3 linked regions of the Drosophila melanogaster genome follow. The protein of the gene in region 1 purifies or fractionates together with the protein of each later gene. This does not show direct contact. Each region holds a gene or a part of one and is shown on either strand. Other genes may lie near its edges.

Region 1 (9,800 bases):
CACCATTAATTCCATTAATCTATACTTCTTTAATACTTATGTACAAGCTAATTTTATTACAAGCATACTCCTTTAAACGCTATATATACATATATATTACGAAAAACCTTCGCTCCAATTCCAAATATTTAGTTGTTAAGCCCAAAAGAGAGATAGACAAAACATTTTTTCGAATATATTTTTGACCATTCGTTCCGAAGAATTCAAAGGAAGAGTGGCAGACAAATGCAATATTTGTGTATAGAATTATACAACTCCTAGCAATACCTAGACTAGCCCACAAAAAAAGGAAATCATCAAAGTACAACTTCCACGAAAGACAGAAATAAGTTATGAAAGACAAACCTGAGACATATAAAAAACCATATATAATCATTTTTGATCGTATTTTTCTCACACGTAAGGAACTCCAATATGAATATTTGTGTGTGCATGAATGCCTGTTATATACATAGATATATACAATATATATATATACAACCTACATATACAAGCTATATACAAGAAATCTCTATATATATACAAACCATGAGTGGAGACCCGTTTCTCGCTTCATTTTCAAAGAGAAAATCAAACTATGTTTTGCTGAATTCGAGAAAACAAAAACAAATCAAATCAAACGATATTGGATATGCTATATATGTATACATTGTGCTCTTTGTACTTTTAAGTTAGACTAAATACCAAATTTGCTTTTTAAGGCTTAAGAAAAACATTAGATCGAAGCCTAAATTGTACTCTGTATAAATAAAAATCGCGTATTTTGCTTAATGATTTTCTGTATTTATATATCTGTATGTTGTGCAGCTAAATGATTAGATTTTTAGGAATCTTTGAAAAACGACGAGAGACTTTTTTCAATGTCATGTTGAGCGTTTATTTTTGCAACTTGTCTGCAAAGGTGCACAAAAATAAAATTATTTAATAATGAATATTACCTTGAAAAAGTGATCTTTTAATTGTATCTTTGATTTTCAAAGATCCTGGGGACGTCTTCTTATAAATGTTCAATATTCTAGTGGGGAATGAAAAAAGTGGGCAGTTTAAAAAGATTTTTAAACTTTTCATCAAATTGAGAAGACGTCTAAAAAATGAATGTCTGGCTTTTATTACCGAAAAACAAAATTTGTCCTAAATCTGAAGACTATAAATTCATAATATGTCTTCCTTTTTGCCACGTATTGTATGAAAATGTCTTCAGATCGCCAAACTAACATGAAGTACATTTAATTCATATTTTAAGACCTATGTGACAATTATACATGTATTAACTATGTTTCGGACCATCAAACCAAATTAACAAAAATAAAATTAATTTTTTTCAAACCTTTTCTTTGGGGAAGCGCGCTGGGAATAATTTTTTAAGAAAAAACACGTTGCACGTCGCATAAGAGTTAAATGTGCTTATTGCTTTTTATCAATTTGTTATTGTTTTTATTTCGAAATTTATTAAAATACACATGTATAAATAGTTCGGCTTTAAACCTAAGCCCAATTGTTGTGGCTGTGGTTAGTTAACTGGCATTTTTACTGGCTTGCCAAAACAACTACCTATCCGCTACTTTTATATTTATGTATGTATCTATAAAGTGGCCATTGTGGGGGGTTCTGTTTTTATAACAAATCTAGAGCTTAAAAACTAGTTGGTATTAAAATTTAACGATTATAGGGACAACAGCTGCCAGTAGAAATATAAAATTGCTGAACGGAGTTGTACTGATTTTTTAAAACGAGAACTAAAGGAAATTTGTTCGATATAAACAATTTAAGCTTAAACAAAGAAAAATACTTCTTGCCAAGTTTTCCATATTCTTTAGAACCTCAGATGAGCCTCGTGCGCTTCAAATAGGTAATAAGCAGATTGTATATGAACTTGTATTGCGCCAGGGATGGTATAATGCTATCCCGTTGATGCCTTAGCTGCCCGATAACTCGAGGTATATCCAGGTCCTGCGATCGTAAGAAAATAATGCTTATGGAAATGGAATAATAAATTCCCTTTCTCCACTCACCTCATTGTGGTCCAACGTGTACAGTAAAAGATCGGCGGTCAGTGTCACTCCCGAACGACCGCCTCCCTCCAGACAGTGAAGAAGAACTGGTGGGTTTGTGTTATGTCCCGGCGGAACTTCTTGCGTAGATGCCAATCGCACGGAATTCAGCTCCTCGAGGAAATCGAGGAAGTGATTCACATCGCGTGGACAATTCTGCTCCGCCCAGTCAGCGTACTGCAAATACCAAACGGATCGGTATCGACGCGATGGTACGTGGTAAAGGCGCAGCTTGATGGTGGTGCATCGATCGGTGGTTTGTGAGAATTCCTGATACACTTGGAACTAGAAAGTAGAACCTTTGAGGAACAGAACTAAAAGCTTATGCGGTTCACTTACCTGTCCAAACTCGAGACGCTGATGACTGTTACGAGGAATATAGCTCATATCCTCGGTTAGCTGGACCACCAAATACACATCCGCCTCCCATACACACTGCCAGAAGATGCGCATGGTAAGCGGTTCTTGTGGCGACTGGGCCACAATATAGAACCGCTGCTTTGTGCCCACAGTGGCCTGAAAAAGATGTTCCAACAATGAAATACACAATTTGCTTTTCATCTTGAGTGTCAACTGAACGTACAGATATGGAGGAAGCATTAACGTAACCATGCCGATTGTCTCGGCATGGAGTCAGTCGCACTCTGTTGTCGTCATAGGGTAAAAAGTTGGGGTCGTGGTTCTTTGGCTCGTTCTCCTCCAGCAGGGCGCATTCGTATAGGGCATGCTCCCGTCGTTTCGGTATGCGTTCGAACTCCATGAATAGCTGCGAGTCACTTAGCTTTTGGTCTAGGATTTGGCACTGGAAGTTGACAAGCGCTTTAATCGAAATGGATTCCAAATCGTAATAACTTTTAACCTACCAGTTTGTCCTTGGAATATCGTCCAGAAATGGGCTGCGGCTTGTTGACGCCTGTGGACCAACGATTTGGCAGGTTGAGATCGTCTTGGGCTAGCTTTAGCTTTGCCGCCAGCTTGGAGTGCTGACCTGCCGTTGTGGCCTTTTCCCTGCCCAGTGTGGCGGATTTCTGTTTGTCGGGTGTTTTGCTGCGTGACAAAAAGTTCCATCGCTTCTTGCGTTTTAAGTCTTTGCTGGCCGCCGATGAGGACGTGGTGTCCAGCGTTGAGTTGAACATGGAGGATGTGGAAGCTGATGTGTTGGCAGAAAGATTCATGGCACTGAACTGCTGTTGCAGCGTGTCTCCGGCCGGCGTGATCATGTCGACCGTCGACGACTTGTTTAGGCTTGCTGTTGAGCGATGTTGTCGTGGCGGAGGTGTGGCTCCCATATCTGGCGCTGCACTGGCGGCTCGATTGGTCCGCTTAGGAGCCTGCGGTTCCAGGAACAGCAGCTCCGTGCTTGCTGCTCGGTCTGCGCCGTACTTCTTTATGTTTCCATCGTCGGGTGGAGAATTGACAGTTACAGTAACTACGTTGTTGGAGCTGGCGTTTCGAGCAGCTGGAACAGGGACAACGCCTGGGGCGGACTGTATGGAGGAAGCTCTTTGACGCATAGCCTCAGTATTTGCGGCACCACTGCTGCCACCAGAGGCTCTCTGTGGCAGGGGTACATTCTCGTAGATGGGCTCGATGGAACCGTTCACCAAGCTCCTCTGTAGTGGCGCCGGTGTCGCCGATTTATGGGACGAAGCAACCACCGGCGGTGGAAGCGGGCTGCTCGCTGGCGGGGGCACAGAACTACGATATCCACTCGGCGGCAGGGTAGGTGAACTGCAAGATCGTAGCGAAAAGTATTGTTATATTGTTTATTTTACGACTTCATTACACTTACCTCTGCGTTACCACAGATCCGGCAGCTGCAGCTGCTGCCTGACTCATCGCTGACTGTCGCAGCTGGGACATTATAGACGGCTGCTCCTCGATCATGTTGAGGTTCTCGAAGGTGCCGTGCGGGGGCAGATAGGGCTGCGAGTGCCCCATGTGGCTCACGTACTGGTACTGGTGCAACATGGTGGCTCCGGAAGATGTTGGAATATTTCCGGCATGTCCGCCTGCGGGCAGAGCAACGTACTGACCGCCATTGAAGAGCGTGCGGTTAGAGACTAGATCCGGCGAGGAGCCGCTTACGTAGTTGCGGAAACCCTGAAGGGGACGGGGAGTGGCCACGGCCAGATCGGGCGTGGAGGAGGAACTCAGCCGATTGACATACGGCGGTGGGGCCTTGTGACGCATCATATGCATGCGCTGCGAGAGCTCTAGGTATGCCTGGGCGGGGCTCATGGGCTGTGGATGTGACTGCGGTTGATGCTGTGCCTGGTACAGGTTGATGTGGTGGTGTAGGGCAGCCGCCGGCTGGGCCACGTCCGGATAACGATGCGCAGTCATATGACCATACAGTAAGTTCTCGTTGTGCATGCCTGGATTGTGTACATCAGGCTGGGAGCCCGCATAGTAGGCATTTCCGGGCGCGGCCATTGCCAGTGCCACATTGTGGAATTCCGCCGATGGTGTGCGGTACTTTAGTTGGACCGCCGTCTCATAGTCTGGTGCCGGGCGGTATGTGGGCAGCATGGCTTTGAGGCGCTCCCGCTCATCGTTGTTATTGTTGTTGTTGCTGCCTCCGTGGTGCAACATGCCACTGCTGCTGTGCAGGTTGTTGTTGCTCAAATCCAGGCAGGAGCTGCTTTGTCCCAACATCTGGTTAGCGCTGGTAGCCAGCGAAATGTTGGAGGAAATCATCTGCTGCTGCTGAATCTGTTGCTGCTGCTGCATATGTTGCTGCTGCTGATGATGCTGTTGCAGTTGCTCGGCGGCCGCCGCTTCATTGTAATCGTAGTCGACATAACCAACGCTGTCAACGCCCAACGGACCACTCTCCGCATCCGCACCACTTCCCAGGCTCGAGGGCGTGGCCGTGTCAATATAGCGCTTGAAAAACTTATGCTGGCTAATGGTGAGCTTCCAGAAGTAACGTGCCGTGTCCGCCTCGCTGAATATAAAGCTTCCCACGATGCTGCCGCCACCATCCAGCTTGTTCTGCTCGATCTTAATCGTTCGCTTGTCGATGGTCACCGTGTGGAACTCCTTCCATGGAAAATACTGCCGACCGTTGTCCGCGTTCACCACCATCCCGTTGATGGCCAGGCCCAGCAACAAATCATTGCCGAGCGTGTCCTTGGCGGCGAAACGTTCCTCCCCATACCCCTCCAGCTGCTGGCAGCACTGTATGTACATCTCCTCCGCCTGGCTCTGACTCAGATGTGCAATGCCCGCCTGCTGCTGCAGGACCTCCACGATCAGTCCCTCCAGCATGCTGTCATCGTTGGCCAGGCCTTGCATGTTGCGCGGCAGGACCAGCGACTTCTTCAGATAGTCCTTGCTCTGTTTGTCGCCCTGGTAGCTATCGTACTCCGCCTGGCGGCAGTAGAGCGCCAGCAGTATGGCCGTGCGGATGTCACAGGCGATGCGGCCCTCGTAGATGTCGCTCTTCAGCTGCAGAAAGTAGTAAAAGCGCGTGGCTTCGTCGCTCAAGTGGCGCACGCCAGTGGTCACGTAGTGGCGAACGCGCAAGTAGATCTTGGGGCCCGCCGCATACTTCTCCAGCTGCCGACTGAGCGAGCGCTCCAGGTCGATCCATTTGAACTCGTCCTCCTTGTCCTTGCCCTTGACCAGGTAGCGCAGTCCAAAGAACTCCGGCTGCTGGATTAGCAAACGTTGGCAAACGTTGTCCAGGCACTCCTGTCCCTTGCTCTCCGAGCTGATCGTGCAGTCCACTGTGCTGGATGTGTCTGCAATGTAGGTAAGAGTGAAAACGTGCTTCAAACATCGGCCTAAGTCGCTCCAAGCACTCTAAATTCGCCGCACAACAACAATTTGGCCCTGCCCGTCGCACGCGCAAATATGCAAATAAAGTTTATAATCTCTTTCGAGACCTTATACGTTTTATGGACGGAAATTGTGGCGGCGCCGCTCAATTGGCTTCTCTCATCTGTCGTATTTCCTAACTAACGAAACGTAGGCCTAATGTCTAAAACCTTTCTGATGGTTGGAGAAATTTGGGTGGTTTTAATTGAGTCAAGGTCTTCAGTTCGCTTGCCAAATAAGTACATTCGGTTAAGTGTATAAGAACTACAAAACATGCTTTTGTTTAGCCCAAAATCGAGAGTAAATAATATACAAAATGTGAAGTACGCAAAGTTAGGAAGTTCTCATAGGCAGTCTGTTAGTTTTAGAATTAACGGTCGCTGTTATGTGTCCTGTGCGCCTCTGTTAACTCAGCGACTGTTAACTAGAATGCAACAAGTGAAGGCATTTTTGTGGTCTGTGCCTTGGAAGGCGAATTCCAGCTAAACTGGAAGTGGGCGCCGCATGACAATCGTTGTGCACATTCCCAATTAAATAATCCCAATTGCAATGGCAGACGGCAGCTGTTAAGTTGTGGCTTTGTCACCGATTTCTTGTTGTTTCTATTGTCTCGTCTCCACTGTTGCTATTGCTGTTGTTGTTGTTGTCGTTGCTGTCGCTGTTGTTGTTGTGGGGGGCGTAGCGCCTCTAGGAATGTGGGGCTTACTCACCCAGCAGGTGATGCACTGATATAACAAACAAACTCTTGGACGTAACATTGTACTGGCGACACTTTTTCAAGAATTTCAATGGCATTTTTCGACTATTTTGCTCCACCGGGGCTCCGCTGGGCTCACAAAAGTGGCTAAAACGGCAGCACCATCGACACCACAGGTTTTTTTTGGGGGAGTAAATTGCTCAATTGGAATTAGCCGATTTGAATCAGCTGATTAGACACGCAAACCAGAGCACTGCGCGTATTGGTTAAGTAAAGTTAAAGATAGTAATTGGGCAGTTAACGACAATAAATAAAGGAATTCACGAGAAATAAAACGAAGAGACCGAAGTGCTGATATCGATACGCAGGTGCTGACTGAGTATCTCGGTGGCTGGCATCGAATGGATCGATAGGCGGCATTGACTATCGGTATGTCTTTGCGCAGTGGGCTGCAAGAAAATAGGTTTAGTTCTGTTAAAGAAAACAAGTGCAACCAAGAAATATGTAACTGAAACAAAACAGTTTATATTTTAAAATATATAACAATGCAGTCAGCAGTGATTAAATAAAATTCCTAAAGATATTAAAACCACTGATACACACGAATACTTCGTTGTACACAGCAAGAGAATAACGGTTTCTAGCGAACAGTAAAATATCAAACTTAACAGAGCTACTGGACACATAGGTGGCGTGCTGGCATAGCTCTGTTATCCGTTCCAACTCCAGTGCTGGAAAGTGCGCGCAACTGAGAAATCCACACCGCGATTCGACGACGGTCCCTCTGGAATTCAGTAATTTAGTACTGCTGCTGCCGTGGTAGTCGTCACTTCCCCTTTGCACTTGCCGCCCTCCGTCAACGTTTTATCGAATAAAGCGAATTAAAATTAAGATCGTGGCTTCGCCCCGCTGCGTAACTGAATAAAGCGAATTTAAATCAAGGGCTTTGACGTCTGCCAAGCTGCTGAGAGGGGCTGCAACAGGAAGAGCACCAGAGACGGGGCACAAATCCACATCCACATCCACCGATCGTCGTCTATCTACAGAGGATTAGGAGCAGCGCAGTCGGAGATCGCGATCGGTGAGTTTCGAGGAGCCGAATCACAAGGCCACGCACTGTCGAAATCCAAAAAGCAAAACCCGATTACCAAAATCGAAATCCAGTCCATAATTAATTTGCTGCTTAGATATTTCGAGCGCTGCATTGGCGGTCAAGGTTGCAGCGACGAGGACAGATGATGGAGCAACCGTATCGCTCACTCGCTCGCTCACACACACACACACACACAGAAGAGCCCTGCGAGCGAGTTTAAAGTTCAGTACCTGTTGCTGCGCTCGCCCAGTCTCCCTCTCCCTCTCGCTCTCGCACAGCCTCGCCGCCGCCCGTGCGATAGTGCGCTCTCGCTCACTCCGTCCGCGCTGCGTGTAATTTAATTTAATTCACTTCTGTTATTAATTTGCGCTATTTGCACGCTGTATCGCCGCCTTTCACGTCTCAAACCGAGTCGTAGGCCGAATTGCATAACCAAAAACGCGACTCGGGTCGCCAATCGGCCATCAAGTTACTTTTCTGCTCGTGGCTCTCCGCTGAGAACAGCTGTCGACTGTCTGCTTCCCGTACAGTAAGCACTCGATATGAGCGACGAAGCTATGTTCTTAATTTCCGTTAACCTGCCTTTCCTTATTCAAAAAATCAACATTTGAAAATCCTAAGTACACCAACTTTACACATTTTCCAATTGGAGTTGGCGTTGCATTTAGTTTCCAATTTATTAAAAACAATTTGTGAAAAAAGCCAACCGATATATTGTTTTATGCTAATTAAACACACACACATTAATGACGATGTAAACAAAATCCTAGTATCAAAATTTACTACAACGAAATTGAAAGTGGCTTAGTTCGAAAAGCCGAAGTGTGTATACTCTTGCTGCCTTGTATAACTGAACTCTGTAAAATCGTTCCATTTTGAAAGAACTAAGAACTTAGTAGGAGATACTGCAAGTCTAGGTATGTACGTACATACATATTTACATATATATAAATCAGTTAAAATATAAAAATTGTACATTGTTGTACACTTCCTAAGAACTTTTATGGATAAAAATTAGTTCTCTGAAATTCAAGTTCAAAGACAAACTAAATAAATATATTATATTATATGTTATGACACCCCATTATAGGGTTACCTACCTATTAAAGCTAGACTATTAGTTCTTCCAATTAAAGAACCATTAAAAGGGCAGGTTCCGTAATGGGATTACATTTAATGGACTTCGGTTAAAGTGAGCGCGGAGTTACATTTCATCCTTTCCAGACAGCCAAACTAGGTTTATGATAACGAAAGCCACTTGGGCGCGAAATAAATATGCATAGTCATGCTTACTTTATAATTCTCCGTCGATTCGGACGAGTAATTCGAGAGTGTCATCGTGTTTAGGGAATTTTAAAATCACATATGCCAAGCGAGATTCTAAGCGTTATCACGCACATTACAAGTGTGTAGGGTGATACTAGATGGGCGTTTGTTGTGACTAGATCGTAAACTTTGTTTGAATAGATGGCTAAGCAGAAATAACCAAGATCATTCATCTCATTCATTTAGATTAACTACTTAGTCGTAAACTAGAAAAAGAAGCACTCAAATAAAGAGTGTTTTTGGAGGAAACATATACACATTTGAACGAGTTAGGATCTATTGTTTCGTAAAAAAAACTAAAGAAACCGAATTTATGTTAACATTTTTGGAACATTTGTTGGTTTTCGTGATATATATGTGTGCTTCCTAACACAATTTAATCATTGCGCTGTCGTCATTCCGTCAATCGAACAGCACACATGGGTGACCTATAAAAAGACGCCAATTTTATGTTCACCTCCACTTGTTGTCAGTGTTGGTTGTTATCGGGAGCGTCGAACACATACCTTCCTCGAAATCGGACGAGAATGACGATACTGGCGTCGATTTGCATATGCCTCGCATGTGTTTAATATTTATTTTCTGCCTTTTGCTGACCACAGCAACAAGAACTATTACGCGACTCTATACAAAGTTCACGCACGTAGCGGCGCATTAGCAACATTAAAGCATTAAGTCAAACCCGAATTCAAGGTGAAAATTCAGTAGAGCTCCTTAAGCCCCCACAAAACAAAAGATAACACCTGGGATCAGCTCAAACTTCCAACTGCTTAAGTTGAGAGTTCTAGTAAAAATGCTTTCGGCACTA
Region 2 (5,918 bases), on another chromosome or scaffold:
CGCGTACGAGGAGAGCGACTGCTGCACCCGCAACATGCTCGGCCGGTCGCGCCCCTTCGAGATGAAGATACTGGACAATTTTCAGAACGAGGTGCTCCACCTGTACCGGCCCTTCAAGTGCGACATCCTCTGCTGCTTTCCCAGCTGCATGAACGCCGTGGAGGTGTCGGCGCCACCCGGCCAGGTGATCGGTAGCGTTGAGCAGGTCTGCACCTTCATGCGGCCCAAGTTCAACATCAAGAACACATGCGGCGATACCGTCCTGCAGATCGAGGGACCCGTCTGTCCCTGCAAGTGCTTCAGCGATACCAACTTCAAGGTCAGTACGCAGCCAACAAGTGGTTATTCTTGGCTCTCGATCTCGATTCCCAATGCCCAAACAAGTGTATACACACACAGCAGCGGTCAGCGGATTAGCTTTAAATTCTTCGGAGGAGTACATATGTATGGTCTTCATCAGTCAAAGACGAAGCTTTATAAAATTCCAAAATGAACAGTATCAGGCGTCCACTTAATTGCTTTTTTAATTATTAAACATTTATAAGTGCCTATATACATATATTCTAAATAATTATGAACAGACAGAAGCGTTCAAATTAATAGCACCCACACTAGTTTTAAATTTTCAATTGTATACGTTATTTAACAGATGCCTCTAGATATAGGAAAATCAATCAATCAATTTATACTTTTTATGGCTAAAATGCACCAAGTGTTTGTGCCGATCTATGAGCCCTTTTACTGACCGCTGCTGTGATCGTACAGAAGCAAAGAGACTGCAGTCCGAGGCAGTGACGTCATGGTTAGCCATGCCTGACTGTCCAGAGCGAGTCAATTAATTGCGATGCCGCGAACTGCGAACCGATTAATGCGAAACGCAAACATCTCTCGCCCCTTTAACCGCGCACAGGTATTGAGCGCCAACAACGAGGAGATCGGCAAAATCAGCAAACAATGGTCCGGACTGGGAAGGGAGCTGTTCACCGATGCGGACTACTTCAGCGTCACCTTCCCCCTGAATCTGGATGTCCGCATGAAGGCGCTCATATTCGCAGCGCTCTTTTTGATTGTGAGTATATCAGTATATCATATATATCACTGAGTGAAATAAAGCATATGCCAGTGCTATATACTCGTTTCCCTTCATTGATTTGTGTTTGTCTTAATTCCAGGACGCGGTTTACTACGAGCAGTAGGCTGTATGATGAATCGCATTCTAAAGGAACAAACGCCCAAACATTATAATCGCCGACTGCTTTTTGGTTCGACGTGTTGCATGGTCATAGCTCTAAGAACTTTTTAACCCCTTATTTGATTAACGTTTCCGGGAATCTGAACAGTGCAACGCTTTGATCGATACGGAATCTCCGCAGCAAAGGAATCTCCCGCACAACTTGGATCTGAACCGCAGTTGCACCTTCGTTATTTTATGAACCTCGGTTTTGGCATTTAAAGCTCACCACAATGAAGCACTTACTGACAAACGCACAAAACGGAAAACAGAAAGCAGACTACACACGAAGAATCCGACGAGAACGAGTGCCTTATGACGTCCTAGTTATTGTCGTCGCCCCCGTCCCGTTTCCCCAGATTTATATACCTCGACAGACCTAGCTTTGTTGTACGCATAGGTCGGAGCACAGGATAACTTAATTGCAACCATGGCGTACCTAACTAATTTACTATTACCTTTTACCTACTACATATTACATATTACATATATTTTTGTATGAAACTAATTGCAATCGAATTGTTACCCATTAGAGTGGCCTAGTGAGCCAGCTTTCAAGGCATTTTGAGATCGAAAACATCTCCTCCTTTTTGGTACCGCTCCTGTGGCGCCGCGCAATTTTCATCACCTTCACATGTACTTCATGAATTTATTTATATCTCAGTTATGCTGTAAAATAAACAAACTATGTTTTGTACAAAGCAAATGCGAAATATTCACAATCGGTGGCATTGCGGATTTGGATTTTCTGTACAGAGGACTCTAGCGATTGTTCGTTTGCATCGTGATTCAGTCGTGAACATTAGGAATGTAACTGGGCTAGGCTACTAAGGTAATGTGCATCTCTATCTGTCCCTAGTTGTTCTTGGCAAAGTACTTCGTCTTCTCCTCAGGATTGGGAACGATCTGTAAAGGTAATGGTATCAAAAAGAATTTACCTAAGGCAATGCTTCAAAAAACCTACCGTATCGGCACCTGGCCGCCAACCTGCTGGGCAAACCTCTCCATGGGTGTCCGTATACTGGAAGGCCTGAACCAGACGAATAGTCTCGTCCACAGAGCGTCCCACGGGCAAATCATTCATGGTGATCTGTCGCAGCACTCCGGTCTGATCGATAATGAAGAGACCGCGCAGCGCATGACCGCTGGACTCCAAGTAGACTCCGTAGTCCTTGCTGATCTTATGCGTTAGATCGGAGAGCAGTGGGATCTTCACGTCGCCCAGGCCGCCCTCCTTGCGCGGCGTGTTTATCCAGGCCAAGTGGGTGAAGTGCGAGTCCACGCTGACGCCAATCACCTCGGTCTTGATCTTCTTGAACTCGGCGATGCGGTCGGAGAAGGCAATGATCTCCGTTGGGCATACAAAGGTGCTAAAATGGCAATGAGAAATGCGATCATACTAAATGTAAATGTAAACTTACAAGTCCAGTGGGTAGAAGAGTAGCACCACATATTTCCCTAGATACTGGGACAATGATAGCTTCACAATCTCCTTATTAACCACGGCGGTGCCCTCGAACTGCGGAGCTGGCTTGGAAACTGGGGAAATAAGGGTAGCAGCAACTTAATAGTGATCCCTGGTTTTTTGCATCCAATGGAACTCACTGACTGCCTTGGTGTACTGCAGCTGATGGTCGCCCTTCGGCTGGTCGGGATAAACGGAGCCGCCGGCGAAGGAATAGCACGATTCATTATCTTCCGGCTTGGCAGCTCCAACGAGTGCCGCGGACAGCAGTAGGACAGATAAGTACTTGGACATGATTGGGCTGAAACGAGATCCACGTACGTATATGGCTATTGGATTCGGTTTATACGCTATTTATTACACGCGGCCTTTACAATTATTGCCGCTCTTTATATTTATAATAAATCTGTGTACAGTGGTCGCCCAACTATCTTTAATTTTGTAAATTATGTAAAGATATATAATTTTGAATGTTAATTAGGAACAAAACTAAACTTCAAAGAAAAGATACTCCTTCTATGTACTAAATCCTTGTTCCGTCCGTGTCAGCCAGTCTCTACTGTACGCACATACCCAAAATTCGAACACGCCCACAACTTGTAGCCACGCAGTCAAAAAAGTAACTATTTCAACGGGCAGAACTTCAATTGATTTTGGTGGAACGCGCTTATTGTTGCTGCGCTTCCGAAAAGATAAGCTTATCAATTTCATTCACTTCACTGCTATTATAATTTATAGTTGTCAGCGTGTAACCGATTTAAACAAATATAGTTTACAAAACTACTAAAATTCCAATGCCAATGCGATTGCCTAGCTCCGATTTGAATATTTATTTTTAGTTGCAGGGTAGTTAACTTGCTTGCATTAAGCAACAATGCAAACGCACAGCTGTTACCTTTTAAGCGCTATAATTAACTCTTTTTGTTTTAATAACAAATTGTTCTGCCGGCATTGGTGTGACCGTAATACGCAAAAATACCATACTGTCGTTCCGACACCAATGCATAGTTCAGCATTGCCAACATAAATTTCATTATGAAATATTTGAATTTTCATTTCATATTAACGCGTAACTGCAATTTTGAAAGAATATTATTTTAGAAAAAATATCTGTGCTGCATTGGCGAATCAAAAGCGATGTATGGCCATGCTATGATCTATCCAATTTTTTTTAAGTAAAAAACACTTTCTCAGTTAACTTTTACTTACGCTATAAACTTTATTAAAATATATACAGTTTGTCAAGAAACTGTTTACACACTGTGAAATAAGTTGAATTTTTGACTTTAAAGCTAAAAATAAAGGGTTTTTTGCTTAATTAAACGCAATTTTTTTATAAAATATAATTAAACAATATTTATTTTACTTATAAATCAAAAAACAAATTAAAAATATTAAATATACAAGAAAATAAACAACAAATTCCAAGTTTACACACTTTTGAGACTGTCAAGAAACTCTTTACACATTTTGTTTTCCTACTTTGTTTTGTTCTTTTTCTTAGAACGAACTCGATTTTTCCGTTATTTTTGGCTTTGCATTGCTTTTTACAACGCTTCTATTGAAATTTTGTTGACTTTGCTTGTGAAATTTTGCTGATCAAACGTGCTTAAAGCGAATTATTAAATTTAATAAAATGCCTGGAAAGAGATTAACTTTTGAAGTTACCCAATTAATAAACTATAACCACCAGTTGGGAAAATCTTTTCCAGAATTAGTATAAATGTTTCCTGTATCCCGTAAGACCGTCTACAATGTTTTAAAAGGCTCGGAAAAAGAGGGCAGGCTTGAACCTAAGAGCGGTGGTGGGCGGAAAATTAAAATTAAAAAGCGTGTAGACCGCTTTATTATGCGAATAGTGATTGCGAACCCCCGAATCTCGGTCAGATCACTTGCTCTGGATATCAGGCAAGAATGCCACCTAACTGTGTCACACGAAACTGTGCGCCAAGTCATCCTACGCCATAGGTACTCTTCAAGATTTGCAAGGAAAAACCCTTTGCTATCAGATGCCAATATGGAAAAGCGTCATTAATTCGCTGTGAGCATGATGGATCATGCGGAAGAGTACTGGGATGACGTCATATTTTGTGACGAAACAAAAATGATGCTCTTTTATAACGACGGGCCAAGCAGAGTATGGCGCAAACCGTTGAGTGCGCTAGAAAAACAAAATATCATTCCAACGATAAAATTTGGAAAAATGTCACTGATGGTTTGGGGCTGTATCACCAGCCGTGGAGTGGGAAAACTAGCCTTAATTGAGAGCACAATAACTGCCGTGCAATATCTAGAAATGTTAAAAAACAAATTTGAAGGCCAGTGCAGAAAAATTCGGTCTAGTTAGCAACAACAAGCCAAATCTTAAGTTTTACCAGGACATGATCAGAAACATAAAGAGTGCAATGTACGCACCTGGCGCCTTAATAACTGTGGTAAAGTGATCGATACGCCCCCTCAGAGTCCTGATCTGAACCCCATTGAAAATTTGTGGACCTACTTAAAGAAGAAGGTGGCAAAAAGGGACCTAAAACACAACAACAGCTTATGACTGTAATAGTCGAAGAGTGTGAAAAGATCCCGTTTGAATATGACCTGCAAAAACTTGTCCAATCCATGAAAAAAAGGCTTCAACTTGTAGCTAAAGCCAATGGGGAACATACTACATACCAAAACTTTTAAAATTTTAATAAAATAATTAAAAAATTTAGGATTAAACTTCGATTTAGTGTTTTGTGTAAAGAGTTTCTTGACAGTCTCAAAAGTGTGTAAACTTGGAATTTGTTGTTTATTTTCTTGTATATTTAATATTTTTAATTTGTTTTTTGATTTATAAGTAAAATAAATATTGTTTAATTATATTTTATAAAAAAATTGCGTTTAATTAAGCAAAAAACCCTTTATTTTTAGCTTTAAAGTCAAAAATTCAACTTATTTCACAGTGTGTAAACAGTTTCTTGACAAACTGTATATCAATATATAAATTGCTCGCGCTTAAAAATTAGGTTTACGGCTGGAGTTAAAACAACACGTACACGCGTCTCTCTGCACGTTTAATTGCTACGACCAATAAATATAGATATTTCTCTCTTACGGCCTAGATGATATAATATGCATTGCATCCTCTAAAAACTACAACAAATTGAGCAAAAGTCTGTGTTAATTTCACAAAAAGCGAACATTAAAAGTACATTGCTTAGCATGCGAATTACTCATTTACTG
Region 3 (9,505 bases), on another chromosome or scaffold:
TAACCGCCAAGCTAGCACACGTCTGAAGCAACTGAAAGTGCGCTGTGTAGATATCGGGGCTGCTCTCTCCGTCAAACTGCTGCCAAAATATCTGAAAAGGACTCTGCAACTTACTGTTACTTTGATGGATGAGCACCTGTAGCAATTGAATGGCCACCAGAAAATCCGCTAGCCACTGTTCTTTGGCATGCGAGGCTACTTTGTGCTCGAAGAAGTGCTGAAACTTGCTAGACAAGTCAATGTAGGTGCGCTTAAAGTCGCCTGTGGGTTCCCGAACAAAGATTAACTTGATATAGTAGTACATCAGCTGTAGAGCATAGCACAGGTTTGATTCCTGGCGAAATAGTTCCTTGCTCATGCGCAGCAGCTGCAATGACATCTGTTGATTGGACTGTGGACTGAACATGTCGATTTGTACGAGAGCCAACGTGAGACTCAGGCACTCAGGGAATAAGTTGGCCAGGTTCGAACTGGTGCTGCTGGCCAGGAGCATAAGCAGCGCGTTGAACATTTTGGCAAGACTCTCCGACGGCAGGAAGCTTAGGGACTTGAAGAATGATCTACTTCTTTTGCCAAATAAACTCTCGTTTAGTTGAACTAGAAGCGTTGCGCATAGACTTATTTGCCTTTGCGTCATGGCTGCGAATAGATCTCCCAATGATTCCAAAGCATAACACAATTGACTTGTAGCTTCCAAGGGGAGTTTTTGCTTCTGCAGCAGCACATGGAAACCATTGAAGTGGGTCAAATGTATGTCCAGATATATTTTGTAGTCTGATTCTTCTTGCAGACGGCAGGGTTGTTGTCGGATGAGGTTGTACAGCTTCTGACAGGCTTCAATGGATCGCTGTGAACGGGAGAATTGGTTAGAAAGATTCGAAGATTCTTATAGCGACTCCTACCTGATGAAACAAGCCATGATGTATGTACCGCAGGCTGGACAAGTGCGCTTCCCATAAGCTTGGCTTCTCCTCGCAGGGAACTACGCGTGGCAGCATTATGCCCATGATGTCGCAGTAAAGATCCGAGTTCTGGTGCAGATTATCCTTTAAGGCGAGGCAAATATGGCGCAATACATTCACTTCGTATCTCAGAGGTAGTCCATCGCCAGACAACTCCCGGAATTTGGCTTCCACCGTTTTGCGGACTTTTTCCACATCGGAGCGGCTGCCCTTCAGCTGGGTGGCTATATCAGTAGACATTTTTTCAAAGGGAATTGGCACATTTAACTAGTTTAACTGCGACGCTTCCTTTTTTGTTGCTTTGCGCCAGATTTTGAGATCCAGTGTGACCGTCCATGCTAAAGCTGGAAATCCTTTAACGATAACATCGATATCTCTAGTTTTCATATCAGAACACAAATACTACAAATTCTTGTGGAAAATACTAAACTTCCATGCTCATTTCCGATAACGATACAATTTGTTGCTTTATTGATATCGAGATTTAAATAAAAAAAAATACGCTCATATGCGTAAGCTCTTCTCTTTAATAGAAATCATTTTCCCATTTTCCCCCGTAAAAGACAATTTTAAAATGATGTAGTTTATGTATTTCAGTTTCAATGGGCTGGTAAAGACACATCTCATCTCGTTAAATTAACGCGGGGCCTGCTTTAATAATAATCGGTTAATTACTTGTGTATTAAATGAAAAGTCTTGTCTAAAATTGTTTTGTGTATAAGATTTACTCGCCACATTTAATGAAAACACTACTGCCAATGAATAAGTGGAAACATTTCGGTATGTGGTAAAAGTACACTTAAAAGTATATAAAGGTAAACAATTCGGGTTGCTCAAAAGTGAGTGCTCTACGTTTACAGAATGACGCGGAGATAAAGTTTGTGTATCTGGGAGGTGGGTGATGGGTAACAATGTAAGTGTGTTTAAATCGCCTTGAGCAGAAAGTGGGCGAAGTAGGATGCTTAACTTATGCGTATTTAAAGAAGGAATGACTTAAGAGTTAGTTAAAAGTTCTTAGCAGTAAATTGTGTGATCGTTTTCACGCGAAACGTTGACAAATCCGCAGTTGTTCAAATAACGCCGGAAAGCTATTGTTTGATTTTCGTGACTGATTGAAATTTGAAAACAAGATGCTGCTGGATGGCTAAAAATTGTACACGTTGTAATTGTGTAATCTTTAACATAGTGATTTGGATTTCATGTTGCGAATCCTGAAGATGGCGAAGGTGTTTAAAATGAAACTGGAACTTGGGCTCGGATGAGGCTATACTAATGCGACTTGCTTAATTGGTTGTTTGCTTGGTTTCCTTTGCATTCCTCCTCGATTTTTCTCGCTTAAACATGTATTTTTTTCTTGTTTAGCTTTGTTTGATTATTACGTTCATTATGCTCCTCTTTGTTTGGGTTGTTTGTTGTTTTTTCTTTTTGTCGATTTCTTCTTTCATTAGCTTACATTTTAGAGAAACAAATTGTGGGTTTCCTAAAGGATTTATCATCTTTTTCTATCAAAATATGATGTGTGTGTGTGTTTTTGTTTTGTGTGTGGGTGTATATTTAAATTTATAACGTACAAAGACGCTATACCGACAGATCAGGGTTTTAACCATCATGCTTTCTCTTCTTGCCTCTGACTTGCGACTCGTCTGGAAAGAAAAAAAGGAAAATATATGGCATTAAGAACTAATGCTGTCTGGGATATAAATAATTGAACTTACCTGCTTCCTTTTCGCCATCCTTGTCCTTGGCATTCACTGATGCAGCCGATTCGTTTGCATCACCATCGGCATCATCAATATCGGAATCCTCTTCCTCGTCCTCCTCGCCAGCCTCGTCTTCGCCTTCCCAATCAGAGTTATCCTCTTCCAAATCGTCATTGTACACCTCCGACAGGGACACTTCACCATTCGCCTCTTCGTCGCTATCATCGCTGTCGTCATCTTCGTCGGAAACTGAAAAATCAAAGGTAAATTTGATTAAACCAACTTGCTTGTTTGTACATCTCGAACTTCCCTAAATCGATTTTTTAATGTGTTCAACGGAATTGAGATCAACAAACCTACGAACTACTATAACGCTTCTTGTGGGTAAGAGAATCTTTACTTTTTCTGCAGCATTTTCGAGTTAGAGAAGTTCGACTAATACTGAAGAAAAGTTCAGAAACGTTATGCTTACAATATGTAGCACTGCCCAAATTTAAAATGGCAAGGAACCAATACAGCAGGATTACAAAACTTAAGTTAGAATTGCTAGGAGGCTGCGGTGTGGCATTTATCACAGATTGTTCATCGGTTGAAGCATCAGTAGATTCCCTTAGCTGCAACTCTTTCAAGTATTCATCTAATTCGTCTACTTCTTTGTCCTCCGATTGGGGAGGTGGTTTGTCCTGCAAACTTTTTTTCGCCTTAACCCGCTTCTCGAAAGCCTCGAGCTCGTCTAAATCGATCTCTAAACCATTTAAACAGAATGCATTGCACTTATCTGAAAGGCGACAAAAGCCACGGTTGAGTATATGATATTATTGTTAATACGAAGAAAGCGCGATTCACAATAAGCGATTAAGTTAAACAGACGGACAATGGAATTTTAATGGTGGTTACATGGAAATCTTTTATAAAAAAAAAACTCCTGAATTCTGCGATTTAATCTTTGGTCTCTATAAATACGTCGAATACACACCTCCCACTTCGTCGGAATCGTTGCCGTTGACCTCATCATCATCATCGCCATCAGATTGCACCTCCTCGTCGTTGCAATCAAATCTGGAAGTGGTCAAGAAGTTACTTTTATTGTTCTACAATAGAAAGAAGTTACTCAAACTCACCCATCTAGGAAATTTAACGATGGCAACATCTTGAAGATCTTCTCGCGGTAATTATCCACTTGAGTAGCGTCGTTATTAAACAAATCCAGAACAACCAGATTTTTAAACTCCTCCAGGGGCTTCAGGGTTTCCAGATCCTTTATCTTGTTGCCAGACAAGTTGAGATATTGCAGTTTGGGGCTAGTGGTCAGATAGTTGAGGCCACTCGAAATCCGATTGTCGGACAGTTCGAGCTTCTTTAAATTGGGCAGCTTGGGGAAACCTTTCAGTGTGGTGAGACCCACGTTGATCAAGCTAAGCGATTCCAAGGCTGTGTATTCATCTGTAAGGCCAACGATGCTTGTACTACGGCAGTTGTCCAGATTCAGCTCTGTGATCTAGGTTATAATAGGGTTGAGAGTAAATACATAAATTAGAAGTAGTTCATTTTATTTATATGAAACGAGTTTTGAATAATTTTTAAACCAATTATTACTTATCGATATTAGTTATTGAAGACAAGAACAAACGATACCGATTATTTTGGTATATTTGATGTATTCATTGTGGAATATTCAAGCCTCGCAGTCTGGTCACATTTGTAACATTTTTTGACGCAAAGCGAACAGAAAAAAAAAATGGAGAACAATACATACGCAAAAATCGATCAAACGCTGAGAAATTTTTTTTTGTTGAAATGCAAAACGAAATTACATGCAAAATAACCAATTTGGCGTTAATGCAAATGACTTGGTAAACATTGCTGCTGCTCCATCGCCAAATTGCATATTTTTGTAATGCAGGCGACGAGGAAAAAGTGCCAACTCGCGTTTATGTAACCCCAATATATGTGTGTGTGCCACAAGCGTGTGTATGTGTGCGTGTGCTTCGACACAAAGCAGAATGCGCAAAGAGAAGAATGACGAGCAAAACGGAATTATCAAGAAGTGGAAGGGAGATGGCAGGGGAACAACAAGACTAGCCGGCACTCGCAGCAACAAAACAACAACAACATGGTTGACCGTGACGTAGTTTAGTTGTTGCGCCTGTCTGCGAATAGTGGGTGGGGGTGAGAGTGGGTGGTGTTTTGTGGTCTGATAATCTACAAATGAATAAATGTACACAACGTACGCCTTTTGGAGGCTGTGCAAGTTCACTTCAGATTACCCAATTATCAATATGTCACGACGCCACAACAAAACCAACAACAAAGAAACAAAATGGGTGCCTTCAGAGTCCGTCTGTCCGTCTCTGTCTAGCCGAGAAACAGTTATGTGCTTACAGCGGACACTTTCTAACCTGAATTATGGTTCAAATTTATTTTATTTCTAAGTGGCAAGAATCTTGGTATATCCTAAAAGAAAATTAACTGTAGCTCAACACAATTTTTAATAATTATCAACAAAATTGAATATGAAAATATAAAATTGTAAATAAAAACTGACTGCAAAACCTAATCTGTATTCGGTTTGATATACTTTGTAATATAAATAACTTATTGTTTGATGAACTTCAAAATCATGTTTTTGGTAATGGAATCAATTTAACTATGTTAAGAATCTTTTTATGGATATGGTGTAGTTTAAACAAAAAATTTAACTCTTGGAAAGGAAACAAAGTGGCACTTCCCCAAAGGTATAATTTATAAAAATTGGAAATGAAAAAAATGTTCGTATGAAATTCACGGCTAAGAATTCGGTTGTGCTCGATCTATTGATCGATCTAGTAAGCACCAAAGTGGGGAATGCAAATGATCTAAAATATAGCTAACAGTAGAGAGTGTCTACTGTATTTGAGCAAATGAGTGGAAATGAATGCACACAGCGTTTGGCTTTGACTTAGGCGCGAATGAGTGTGTATACGTTGCTATTTTTTGTCTTCTGCTGACTTCGCTGTTGTGGGGTGCATTTTGGGCGGGCAGTGGGTGGCTGGGCGGTTGGGTGACCGCTGATTGAGATTGAGTAGGCTGGCCGGCCAGCCAGAGCGCATGTTTATTAATCAGCGGCTTTGTCTTTTCGCCTGCATTTCTTTGCCACTTCGAGTGGGCGGGAGCGGGATGGCTAGAGGCGATGGCGTGCAGGTAAACACGTTAGAAGAAGAAAAGAAGAAGGGGAGCATAAAAGTATTATGACTGCGCAGTCAATATATGTATGTACATATGTATGGATGGATGTACTGATATGTATGCTATGTGTCGATTATTTTGTGCATAAGTCGTCTTACGTATGCATGTGTATCTTTTGTGCGTGGTACGCGTGTGTTTGTGCGGATGATGCGCGCGCTATAATATTGTTATAGATACAATTTGGTATCAAATAACCTGAAATTACAACATGCAGTCAAACACACGTACACACAAACACATGTTGCCCGTGTTTGTCACAATTGAAGGCCGGCAATAACCACAACAACAACTACGACGAGAACAGCAGCAGCAAGAACAACAAGCGAGGAGCATTGCCAGCTGTGGAGATAATACAATTCCAAGTGCTCTAGCTCGTCTGGCCCGAAAAGATCGCTTTCCATCAGCCATGCAGTAAAATCACTCAGGGACTTGCAATTAAATACGTAATAGCTTGTAAACGAATTCAAAACCTGCATTCTAAAGGAGCAAACAGCAGGCAAGGCGCAAAAATGCGCGCACATGGCAACACTGGCGTCACATGCATACAAACACGCACGCACACAGAGGCATGTGTGTAGAATTTGCTTATGGCGATCAATTTCTTTTCTTTTTTTCGTTTTTCTTGTTGATGCCGCTTTGCTGCTTCTTCCGTAGCACTTTTTGTATGTCGTCTATGAACAAATTGAAACTAGATTTACATGATAATGCACACACACACGAAAGCGTCACTTAATTTGGACCTCAATTTAAGTTTGTGGCGCGTGTTTTTTTTCATCGTTTGTATTTAGCTTACCTGATTTACTTTGCGTGCGCGTCTTTCCAGTTCTATTCTCTTCTCCATTGCAGCGGCACTTGTTTGTTTTGGATGTTCTTTTTGGTTACGCTTTTTTCCTTAGCGGATTCCTTGTATTTTTGTGTGTTTTTCTTCCTTTGGGCTCCACACGAGAAACAGCGCACGCACTGAAGGCAAAAGACTCGCACTCGCCAACACACACACGCACACAGAGCAACACACGCGCGCTCGCACACGCTCACTAACACAGACGCAGCCTTGCAAATTTTTCTTTTTGTGCTTCTTTCGGTATTTTCGATGCCGCCACCGTTTGGTTTTCGCAGATTTTTATGGCTAAAAAGGGAGATGGGTGGAGAGTGGGTGGGGGAGGTAGAAAATTAATTAGTTACTGGTAATTATTGAAACACAAAAAATAAAGTGCACAACTGCAACTGCTGCATTGTAACGCATTTTCTTCGATTCCAGCACATGACGCGCCTTTTTAAACCGACTTTTGGACATCAATTCGATGGTTGAATGGACTGTGAATCCTTTTTCCGGCCGAAAAATATGCCAATGCTGGCAACACGCACTCACCTGGCGATGCAGAATATTTAAATACTTCAGAATCAATTTTTAATTGTATTTTCAACCAAAGCAAAACGCTAGAGCTGGCACTTCAGTTGATGATTGTTCGATACCTCCTATACTATCCCCTGCATATATCGATTGATTTTGTCTAGTAGTGATGGCAATTTGGGTTGAGAGAGCGAACTAGCTTGGAAGGTAGTGGGTACCTGCTACGATAGGTGCATGTATTCGCTAAAGTGCGACCGTTAGATGCTGTAATTTTGTACCAGTCTGCTTTTTGAGCGCCAAATTCAAATGTATTTAATTTAAGAACTTCCTTCTGCACTAAAACCAAAATAGTATACCACTATTTAATTTGTAATAAGCACACGTTAAAGCGCTTATCACGGACGGGAGCGTTAATCACATTTCAAAATACCTATTAAGACTAAATGACGCCGTTAGCAATAATGCGGCATAATCAGAAGCGCGTGCATCCGTCGGTAATGCGATGCTGCAAGACAGGGTCGCTGAATCGAGGATATATAGGATTACCGTTTCGAAGGACGAACGCCTTAATTAGCCCTGCGAAAAGCGCGAAAAATAACAGAACAAAGCAGCATAAGCTTGCTTATTTTACGCTGCGAAGTCAACGAACGCCTTTCGAGGAAGTAAAGCGTTAACCGTCTGTTGACATGGCCCCTTAGCTTTTCCCAACAAGCAACCATGTGTATGTATGGGTACACAGGATTGAACAAAATGGCCGCAAGGACGCAAAGTTGCCGTCGTGTCCGTGAACTTGGCGTAGCTTTAAATGATGTAAACGATTCAATTTGATTTCCTCGCCTCGTTTACCTGCCGCTCTTTATTCCTGATAATTTTAATGTGAGCTTAATGCGGCCGCGCAGCATACGAAAACATTCAGGTATTCAGGTAATTGTTTTTGCAGTATCAAAGAAGAAAAATTACTTCAGCCGCACACAGTGGGAAAAATATTATCTGTTTCGAACATTGAGGGAATATTCTATTGCAAATGAATTCTTTAGTAGTTTATCGCACTTGTATGTAATTACAATTATAACATAATGCTGTGTAAACTGCGTTTTTTTTTTGTTATTTTCCTACGTGCCAGCTTGGGCTTGCGTATCAATTAGTCGTCCTTCTGGCTGGGCAAATTTGCCAAACGTGTGTCCTCGCTCCACTTGGGGATACTAATAACAAGGTGGGAACGGGTTGCGGGTGTCGGTCAGGTTGTTAGCATTATCTGCAGATCGGGTGCACAGGTCCTTGAGCGGCATCATCGGTTGCACCATTCGAAGTGCCCCTGAAGAGCCGTCGCTTGGCTCTAATCTATTAAAAGCGCGTTAATTCTGCGAGTGTGCCGTCTATTTGCGGTCTCCAAATAGCAGCAAGTGCCACGATGAGCTTTTCTTTCAGCCACAGAATTTGTGTACTTGTGTGCCATTGGTAACTGTTGCTTTGGTAAACATCAGCTTTAATGGCTTTGTGCTGGGTTCAAATAAACGGAATGGAAAACAAATTTCGAGAGATTATGGTTGACTTCGAGGGTGTGGATGGTATCTGTTATTACCACTTTGAACATTACTTTTTTAGCCCCCTTTTTCAACAATATAATGTTGGGCAAAAGGTTAAAGTTATTTTAAACAATTATTTTTGTTTCTTTTTCTAGTGACAAATTTTAGATATAAGTATGTATTCAAATTAAAATTACTTACCACCTTCATTTCCGTGCACTTATTAATGCCATTTTGAATGACTTATTTTAAGGCCCATTAACAGGAACTAACTACTGTTTACTGCCATCTGAATGGGTACTAATTAACTAAGTAAAGCACGGCGATGCCGTCGACGATGGACTCTCTTTTGTGCTCTCTTTCTGGCCAAAAGACACGCACACACATTCGCACATCCAGGAGACCAATCAACAGTTTGCCGTGGTGCGAGGAAAAGCTCTCGGAAAAGCTCGGGAAAAAAGAGATGCTGCGACGTCGACAGAGGCGAAAAGCAGCAGCCACAAGTTGCCTTTTCGACATTTGCAACAGTTGCTGTTGAGTGGCTTCGAAAGTCGGACGTGGCGAAAGGTATAGCGCATACATCCGTAACTGAATCCAGGCGAAACTGTTATCAGTGGATTTGGCCACCTTTCTCCCTGTCTGCGTGCGTGTGTGTGTGTTTGTGTGTATGTGCTAGCGTGCGGCTGGGAAAATTGAGGAAAATTGAAAAGGCTTGTAACGGGAAACTAGTTCAAGTGCAGA

Evidence for each region.
Region 2: the proteins of Pez (region 1) and Prx4 purify together in Drosophila melanogaster (affinity purification with mass spectrometry, with the first as the bait; one large-scale study listed by BioGRID). This does not show direct contact.
Region 3: the proteins of Pez (region 1) and Mapmodulin purify together in Drosophila melanogaster (affinity purification with mass spectrometry, with the first as the bait; one large-scale study listed by BioGRID). This does not show direct contact.

Annotation. Positions count from the first base shown.
Region 1 is NT_033779.5:6,331,472-6,341,271, forward strand, and holds Pez (Pez), read right to left. Parts: upstream 7,201-9,800; 5' UTR 7,177-7,200; intron 7,023-7,176; 5' UTR 6,672-7,022; coding exon 6,587-6,671; intron 5,801-6,586; coding exon 3,844-5,800; intron 3,783-3,843; coding exon 2,915-3,782; intron 2,854-2,914; coding exon 2,635-2,853; intron 2,568-2,634; coding exon 2,391-2,567; intron 2,337-2,390; coding exon 2,013-2,336; intron 1,951-2,012; coding exon 1,822-1,950; 3' UTR 1,410-1,821; downstream 1-1,409.
Region 2 is NT_037436.4:3,040,124-3,046,041, reverse strand, and holds Prx4 (peroxiredoxin 4), read right to left. Parts: upstream 3,684-5,918; 5' UTR 3,592-3,683; intron 3,493-3,591; exon of another isoform or gene 3,270-3,492; intron 2,998-3,269; 5' UTR 2,991-2,997; coding exon 2,837-2,990; intron 2,771-2,836; coding exon 2,653-2,770; intron 2,602-2,652; coding exon 2,196-2,601; intron 2,138-2,195; coding exon 2,087-2,137; 3' UTR 1,868-2,086; downstream 1-1,867. Other genes in the region: scramb2 (scramblase 2), read left to right, coding at 1-319, 911-1,069, 1,173-1,196.
Region 3 is NT_033778.4:17,864,649-17,874,153, forward strand, and holds Mapmodulin (mapmodulin), read right to left. Parts: upstream 7,368-9,505; 5' UTR 7,257-7,367; intron 7,014-7,256; 5' UTR 6,729-7,013; coding exon 6,681-6,728; intron 5,210-6,680; exon of another isoform or gene 4,379-5,209; intron 4,161-4,378; coding exon 3,784-4,160; intron 3,722-3,783; coding exon 3,639-3,721; intron 3,441-3,638; coding exon 3,135-3,440; intron 2,912-3,134; coding exon 2,678-2,911; intron 2,606-2,677; coding exon 2,562-2,605; 3' UTR 1,671-2,561; downstream 1-1,670. Other genes in the region: thr (three rows), read right to left, coding at 1-847, 903-1,202. UniProt on the Drosophila melanogaster protein: Implicated in a number of cellular processes, including proliferation, differentiation, caspase-dependent and caspase-independent apoptosis, suppression of transformation (tumor suppressor), inhibition of protein phosphatase 2A, regulation of mRNA trafficking and stability, and inhibition of acetyltransferases as part of the INHAT (inhibitor of histone acetyltransferases) complex.